Linked DNA regions of Macaca mulatta. The protein of the gene in region 1 interacts with the protein of each later gene in a biochemical or structural test. Links are inferred from orthologs where the notes say so. Each region holds a gene or a part of one and is shown in the gene's direction. Other genes may lie near its edges. The genes, in order: RNH1 and ANG.

Region 1 (3,803 bases):
TACTTTAAATTCTTTTTGTTTTTAGAGACAGGGCCTCACTCTGTCACCCAAGCTGGAGTGGTTCCATCACGGCTCCATCATGGCTCATGAAGCCTCGACCTCCTGGGCTCAAGCAGTCCTCCTGCCTCAGCATCCCGAGTAGCTGGGATTACAGGCACCTGCCACCACGCCCGGCTACTTTTTGTATTTTTAGTAGAGACGGATTTCACCATGTTGGCCAGGCTGGTCTCGAACTCCTGACCTCAGGTGACGCCCACCTTGGCCTCCCAAAGTGCTGGGATTGCAGGTGTGAGCCACCGCGCCCGGTCTGAATTTTGTAATTTCTTTCTTTCCTCCACATTGATCAATTGTCATTCTTTTGTGAGCAAGACCTGGTTTTTTTCCTTTCTGTATTTATTCAGTTATTCATTTAATCAGGAAGGACTGGAGTATGTGTATTTGTCATGTTAGAAGCTGGTGTCACTGTGTATTTGCTCCGGTGTCTGAACTACCTGCTGCGTCCTGTTCCAGGCAGTTCCCGTAGGTGTCACCTCAGACAGGTTTGATTTTTTCCCTAGAGACAGACCAGGAGCTTTTGTGCTTCGTGCCTCAGGGTTGGAGGCGAGGAGCACGTGAGGCCTCAGGCACACGTCTGCATACGTGCAAGCATCTTAAAACTTTCTTTTTTTTTTTTTTTTTTTTGAGACGGAGTCTCGCTCTGTCGCCCAGGCTGGAGTGCAGTGGCCGGATCTCAGCTCACTGCAAGCTCCGCCTCCCGGGTTCACGCCATTCTCCGGCCTCAGCCTCTCGAGTAGCTGGGACTACAGGCGCCCGCCACCTCGCCCGGCTAGTTTTTTGTATTTCTTAATAGAGACGGGGTTTCACCGTGTTAGCCAGGATGGTTTTGATCTCCTGACCTCGTGATCCGCCCGTCTCGGCCTCCCAAAGTGCTGGGATTACAGGCTTGAGCCACTGCGCCCGGCCTTAAAACTTTCACAGAACAGTTCTCCTCTTTTTTGTTTCATTTCTGCAACGTCCTGTGTGACTTGCCGTGCTGTCTTCTGGGCCCGCTGATGGGTTGTAATCTGCGCGTGGGGTAGTGGAGGAGCCTGAGTGTGGCCCGCATGACCCTGGGGTCTGGTTGCAGGCTGGACGACTGTGGCCTCACAGAGGCACGGTGCGGCGACATCAGCTCGGCACTCCGAGTCAACCCTGCACTGACAGAACTCAGCCTGCGCAGCAATGAGCTGGGTGATGCTGGCGTGCACTGCGTGCTCCAGGGCCTGCAGAGCCCCTCCTGCAAGATCCAGAAGCTGAGGTGAGGTGGGGCCTGGCACTGCCTCTGGCCTGGTGCGGCCTGCTTTGGTAGCCCGGCAGCAGGGGAAAAAGCTGCCAGGGGCTCGTGGGCAGCTGTGGGTGGGCAGGCGGTGGCAGCGGGCATTTCCAGCATCAGCCAGAGGCACACAGGCCTGGTGGCCTCACGGCGGGGGGACAGGGCCCCTCCTGCCTTGTCCCAGCCCCTGCGCCCAAGGTCTGGGCCCGCCCGCCATCCCTGGCCTTCCAGCATCACCACAGGACCCCTGCTGAAGGGTGTGTCTGCAGACAAGGTTTCCCTGAGCCGAGCCACACGTGTGCCCTCCTTCACTCGGCCTGACCAGGGAAGGAGCAGTACAGACCTACTGCCTGCAGAGCGCCGCTCCGGGCTCCAGGCTCTGGCAGGTGAAGGGTGTGGCAGTTTGGCTCAGGGGAGCCCTGCTGACGGCCAGGTATGCTCCAGCCTCCAGAACTGCTACCTGACGGGGGCCGGCTGCGGGGTCCTGTCCGGCACGCTACGCTCCCTGCCCACGCTGCAGGAGCTGCACCTCAGCGACAACCTCTTGGGGGATGCGGGCCTGCAGCTGCTCTGCGAGGGACTCCTGGACCCCCAGTGCCGCCTGGAAAAGCTGCAGTGAGTGTGTCCCCTGCCCCGGGACCCATGCTCTCCACTGCCTGTCCCCCAGCCAGCCCCCTATATAGCACATCGCCTGCCAGGAGCCGTGAGGAGGGACTCAGGTCACAGGGTCCTTGTGGTGCTCTCCCCTCTCCATGATGCTGGGACTGGGGGGATCTGTCGTCGCCCTCCCTCCCCCTCCAGTTGCCCTTTGCAAGGCACAGCTGCCCCAGGACCTGACAGTGGGAACAGACCTGGCCGTGAGTCCGGCTCCACTCACCACTTCAGTGTGTGTGGGGGGCCCGGCCACTGTGAGTTGACCACGGCCTGGCACGTGCAGGCGGCCCTGCCCTCCAGAGGCTGGTTTCTTTGTCCTGGGCCTGGTTGGGCCCCGAGGTCCGAGGTCGGGGAGGGGGTGAGGGGTTTCCAGAAGGAATGCCGGTGTCCACAGAGGCCTGGGCCTCTGGATGAGTCTGGGGGGGCCCTCAGCACTGCCACCTGATGCCTAGGCAGGAGAAGGCTGAGGGAGAGATGAGACACCAGCACCCCCCTGCACTCCCTGGCATCACACCCTTGGCTGGTGCACATTCCTGTGTGGTGCTAAGCTCGGCTACCCCCCAGGCTTGAGTATTGCAACCTCTCGGCTGCCAGCTGCGAGCCCCTGGCCTCCGTGCTCAGGGCCAAGCCGGACTTCAAGGAGCTCACGGTTAGCAACAACGACATCAATGAGGCCGGCGTCCGTGTGCTGTGCCAGGGCCTGAAGGATTCCCCCTGCCAGCTGGAGGCGCTCAAGTAGGCCCTGGGCCTTGGGGAGGTGCGGGGTGTGGGCCGGGGGTCCCATGCTGCTTCACGCGTGACCTGCGTCCCCAGGCTGGAGAGCTGTGGTATCACGTCAAACAACTGCCGGGACCTGTGCAGCATCGTGGCCTCCAAGGCCTCGCTGCGGGAGCTGGCCCTGGGCAGCAACAAGCTGGGTGATGTGGGCATTGCAGAGCTGTGCCCAGGGCTGCTCCACCCCAGCTCCAGCCTCAGGACCCTGTGGTGAGTCACCTCCCCGAGGCCTCCTTCCTGGAGGGTCAGGGGCCGCGGGCCGTCCTCAGAGCCCTCCCCCACCCGCTGGGCGCACCTCAGGCCATGAGATGGCGCTGAGGAAAGTCTGGGGGGGTCCATGTCCTGCAGGATCTGGGAGTGTGGCATCACCGCCAAGGGCTGTGCGGATCTGTGCCGTGTCCTCAGGACCAAGGAGAGCCTGAAGGAGCTCAGCCTGGCCGGCAACGAGCTGGGGGACGAGGGTGCCCGGCTGCTGTGTGAGACGCTGCTGGAGCCCGGCTGCCAGCTGGAGTCACTGTGGTGAGTGTGGCTGTCGGGGCAGGGCCCTGTCGCCCAAGAGAGGGCCAGGGTCACCAAGGAGACCAGGGGAGGAGTGAGCGACTCCAGTGGAGGTGCTGGGCTCAGCTCTGGCGTTCAGAATGCATGGGCCAGGGAGCAGCCTGTGGTTTGATAGTAACGGTGCTTGGGGCTGAGGACCAGGTGCAGGTGCCCACACCTTGGGAGGCTCTCAGATGTTTTTGCTCAGGTCCATGTGGGGCTTTCAGGAGAAGGGCCAGTTGCAATTGTGGGCCAGCCTGGTCCGCTGCCAGGCCTCAGTCCTGTCTGTCCACAGGGTGAAGTCCTGCAGCTTCACAGCCGCCTGCTGCTCCCACTTCAGCTCGGTGCTGACCCAGAATAAATTTCTCCTGGAGCTGCAGATAAGCAACAACAGGCTGGGGGACGCGGGCGTGCAGGAACTCTGCAAGGGCTTGGGCCAGCCCGGCTCCGTGCTGCGGGTGCTCTGGTGAGTGTGAGAGGGACACGAGTACACATATTTGGGAGGTCATGTGCACGTGTGTGAGCA
Region 2 (4,335 bases), on another chromosome or scaffold:
CTCTGAAAGACAGTAGACCCGAATCATCCAACCGTTGGGGGAAGGCACCGTTATCTTACCGAAGTGTGTTATATTTTGGCTTCTACGTTAAGTCCAAAGGCCGGCAGGTATATACATAGAGCGCGTCTGTCCTGGGGCTCAGTAACCTACAGCCTTGCAACCGAGCTCAGCTCTGGCCCTCGATCTCTATCTCAGACCCCTCCAGGTTCCCACCAGGCTCTAGTGAGCTTAAATCGCTTCCCGGGCTCAGTGAGACGCAAGGATGTCTAAAGTCTAAAAAGTTGCCTTCGTTCACCCCATCCTGCGTCTGGATCGAGGAGAATAAGCCAGACAATAAGCCATACTTGAAACTTGGTAAAGATGGAAGGAATAACTAAATAAGGCCAAAGGGAAATGTCACAACAAAGAAAAAAAACAAAAACAGAAAAACCTTCAGAACGGCAGGCGGAAAACAGAAATTCAGAGTAATATGAAGCCACCTCTAACACGGTGGCTCGTTGGTCTAGGGGTATGATTCTCGCTTTGGGTGCGAGAGGTCCCGGGTTCAAATCCCGGACGAGCCCTCAGGTTTACTGTTTTTTCCACCCTCTTTTGGCAACTACTGAAAAAAGTTTCCGTTAAATTTGAAATACAGACTGTCTCGTTTTGGGCTGTCCTGCTAAAGAAAGCAGCACCAAATAAGTACGTGGCAGATGGGGCTGCCGACCAGTGTCAAGACCGAGCTTCATGGGTTCCTGGACACTCAGCCAGGAGTAGTCTCCTAAGGGCCGCCTGGCTCTTGGGAGCAGAAGCCAGTTTCCCGCCATCTGCTCTCCGTGGAGGCAGTGCGCTCGCGGCTGCTGCCCGTTGGGTTCCAGCTGAGGAAGGAGCGTGGATCCTAGACTCGTTCTTTGCCTGGGGTGCCCCTGCGGCCCCTGGGGAGGGGCTGCTGCAGCGCCAGCTCCAAGGGCGGATGCAGGCGGGAGAGGCCTCCTGGGAGAAGCAGGGCGCGGTCCCAGCTACGCAGAGGCTCGTAAGCCTACCCTCCACTCCTCACCACGCCCCCATCTCCGTCCGGGTACACACACTCACGCAAGCACGCCACTCCACCCAGATGCAAGGCAGGATTCAAAAGAACATCTTTGCGTTTTCTACGGCCTCCCCATCGTCGTACTAGGGAGGAAGAAGCTGGTGAGAAACAAAACTTCTTTCTACCGTCCTGCCCATTTCTGCCAACTTGTTCAGAGGCCGAGGTACGTTCACACTCCTGCTCCTCTTGCTCTTTGGTAGCTACATCAGGGGCGTTGTGGCCGGGGAGTTCTTTCCTAGTAGAAGCAGCTTGGGACTCCTCGGGGAGGCTTTTGCGGGACTGGGCTGGAGAGGGAGGAATGGGGAGGGAGGTGAAAGTCCAGTATTTGTATGAGTTAAGGACTTTACATTCCCACTCAGGTTTTTACTTTGCGCAGCTGGGCAGAGATGCCAGCTTCTATTGATTAGTAGGCTTGGAGGGGGACCACAGAATCGCCGAACCTAAGGGAAGCCCTAGGAGGTCTGCACTTGCCCACAACTAAGAAAGCTTTGCTTGTTATTCAGGTTAATCACCAGATTTTTGAAGGAGGCCTTAGTTTTTGCAAGCGTAACTAACATTTGGGGATCGGTATTTTCTGTTTACTCTCCTCTGCCTCCCCACCCTTAACCCACCCTCAACAAATGTTGTGCAATTCTTGGAGACACTTGCCAACAGCCTCTTTAAGCCTTCCTACTGGAAGGCTGGGATCCTCCGTTTTTTCACTCTGAGACAGCACGTCAAATGCTAACAGCAGCACATGAGTAAAGCGCAACATCTTTATTAAAACAATTTCAGCACCACTCAGGGGGCTAAGGAAATCTCAGATGAGCCAAGATCCTCCCTCCTGACAGTGAGAATCTTATAATCAAGTAATAATGTAATCAATAGAAACCCAAGTGACATATGTATCTGCAGCACAGGACCACCTTCCCAGAAGCAGCCGCAGGTATTCCAAGACTTACTTAACCACAGAGCCACTAATTAGTTTTGCAAGAGGATAGGTTTGTTACATACGCTTCAATTCAAGCAATTCTTTTACGGATGACAAGCAGAGTAAAATATTTTTTGAATTTATGGTAATAGTCACTGTAGGTTTCCTTTGAACAGCAACTTTCAGTGGCCCCTTTAAAGTTAGCTTTGATTGTCTAGACAGTACTAGTATGGAAAATAAAAGTTGTGTGGACCTGGCACGATGGCTTATGCTTGTAATCCCAGCACTTTGGGAGGCCGAGGTGGGTGGATCACGAGATCAGGAGTTCGAGACCACCCTGGCCAAGACGGTGACACCTCGTCTCTACTAAAAATACAAAAATTAGCTGGGCACGGTGGTGAGCTCCTGTAATCCCAGCTACTGGGGAGGCTGAAACACGAGAATCCCTTGAACCTGGGAGGCAGAGGTTGCAGTGAGCCGATAGCCTGGGTGACAGAGCAAGACTCCATCTCAAAACAACAACAACAACAAAAAAAACAGTTGTGTGGTGCATTGGAAAGCTTCTAGTCCCGCGAATGCCATGAGTTAGTTCCTTGGGCAATACATGTCTCTTTCTCTGTTCCTCAGTTGCCTTTTCTTTAGTATGAGGGGTGGACAGACGGTCTCAGAGGCCCCTCCCACTATTGTTCTGTGACTGCATGGAGTGGTGCGATGTTAGAAACAGGATATGAGGCACTCTAGTAATGTGGAGACGAACTATAGTTTGGCAGAGAGGATGGAAAAAATCATTCCAGGAAAAGAGGAATGGCTTTAGCTATTGCTGACAGCAGATAATCAGGTTACAAGCAGGCAAGTATAAGAGGTTTGCCAAGTTATTGTTGGAAGCATTTGTCACTGTGACTCAAATTAAAGTAGATGGATAAAAAAGTGGACCAGTGGAGGCCAGTGAAACCTTTCTTTAGGAGTTTTTATTTAATCTGTATTTAAGCAGATTCTCTGTAATTCTCTGTAAACAGTTATTCCCAGAAGAATGCCATGAAATACCTGGGAAAGAGGGAGTGGGCACAAAGCCCAGAGTGGGTTGAAAAGCAAATGTTTAATTTTTGTCTTTGTTTGGAAATACAGGCGTGTCAGCAGGACTTTGTCCCCACTGTCCTTCAGTCAGTAGTGTTGCCACTTCCTGGAGACGTGGTTCTTCTTTTCACGGGGGCTTTTCCTTCTTTACCTGTTACTTCCATTACTGATTAAGTTTCATGCTTATAGACCTAAACTGTTAGAATAATAAAGAAATTTAGAAACTATTTAGTCCATTGTTCCCATCATCTAATTTTAGTCCTGAGACAGAATGAAACATAGATACTCTGTATGAAGGAGGAAAGTGCTCCAACACTAGAGTCCTTGGAAACAGGACCCATGCATCCCGTGTCTGTGTGCAGGGACATTATTGGCTTGAGGGAGAGAGAAAAAAATCTCCAGGAAAGGGGAATGACTTTCAAGTTAAAACTGTCTGAACATTTAAAAAATATATGAAGTTTTTTTGCAATTGGCAATTCCTTCATTTGTACTAAAATTACTGACAAAGATGTGATGTTCCTTAATCATAGAATATAATTCCTTGTTGTATTTTAAAACACAAATGACTAAGTACCTAGATGCATTCTAATGAAATAGTAATTTTTCCCCCAAACCCTACTTTTTGTTTCAACAAAACTTCCTTGTGCCAAGTTTAAAAGAAAAACAAAAAACTGTCTTTTGGCGTTGTGGGCAGATTGTGAGTCCTCCAAAGGTTGTCCAGTAAAGGCCCAGAGGCAGAGAAGGGACCTGACTATATTCAGAGGCTGCTGGTTGCCCCAGCCCAGCACTACTGCAGAACTCTAAAATCAGAGGCTGCTCTGTTTGTGTGAGTTGGTGCTTGAATTGGAGCTTCAGGCCATGGCGCTGTGTGTATGCAGGCACATGTGGGTTGTATGTTGTGGCGGAGTTCCGCTTTTCGGGACTCAAAAAGAGGTGGTGTTGCTTGAGCTAAGTCTGGAAAGATGGGTCAGTTTTCTCCTTGTTTACAAAGGGTTCAAAGTCTGACTCCACCATTCCTCTGCTGTTTGTTCTTAGAGTTTCCTCATGAGCAGAGCATATTTACATAATGCCTACCTCACACAGTTCTGGTGCTGGTTGAATGTAGTCATGTATGTGAGAGCTTCACAAAATGAAAGACTGCACTGAATATTATAATGATTGTGATTTCAAGTGCATTTGTTTCACTAGCAGGCAGCCTGTCTTTCTTGACAGCTTCTCAAGTGCAGCCAGACTGAATACTTGCAGGTAGGTGGATGACAACCGAGGATTGAGGATTTTTAAA

The links.
Region 2: the proteins of RNH1 (region 1) and ANG are reported together in a solved structure, tested with the Homo sapiens proteins (3 studies listed by BioGRID and IntAct, with this or other methods). The link is inferred for Macaca mulatta from reciprocal best matches to the Homo sapiens genes RNH1 and ANG.

Annotation. Positions count from the first base shown.
Region 1 is NC_133419.1:390,421-394,223, reverse strand, and holds part of RNH1 (ribonuclease inhibitor), read left to right. Parts: intron 1-1,126; coding exon 1,127-1,297; intron 1,298-1,756; coding exon 1,757-1,927; intron 1,928-2,530; coding exon 2,531-2,701; intron 2,702-2,779; coding exon 2,780-2,950; intron 2,951-3,088; coding exon 3,089-3,259; intron 3,260-3,572; coding exon 3,573-3,743; exon of another isoform or gene 3,744-3,803. UniProt on the Homo sapiens protein: Ribonuclease inhibitor which inhibits RNASE1, RNASE2 and angiogenin (ANG). May play a role in redox homeostasis. Required to inhibit the cytotoxic tRNA ribonuclease activity of ANG in the cytoplasm in absence of stress.
Region 2 is NC_133412.1:93,530,544-93,534,878, forward strand, and holds the start of ANG (angiogenin), read left to right. Parts: upstream 1-1,293; 5' UTR 1,294-4,335. UniProt on the Homo sapiens protein: Secreted ribonuclease that can either promote or restrict cell proliferation of target cells, depending on the context. Endocytosed in target cells via its receptor PLXNB2 and translocates to the cytoplasm or nucleus.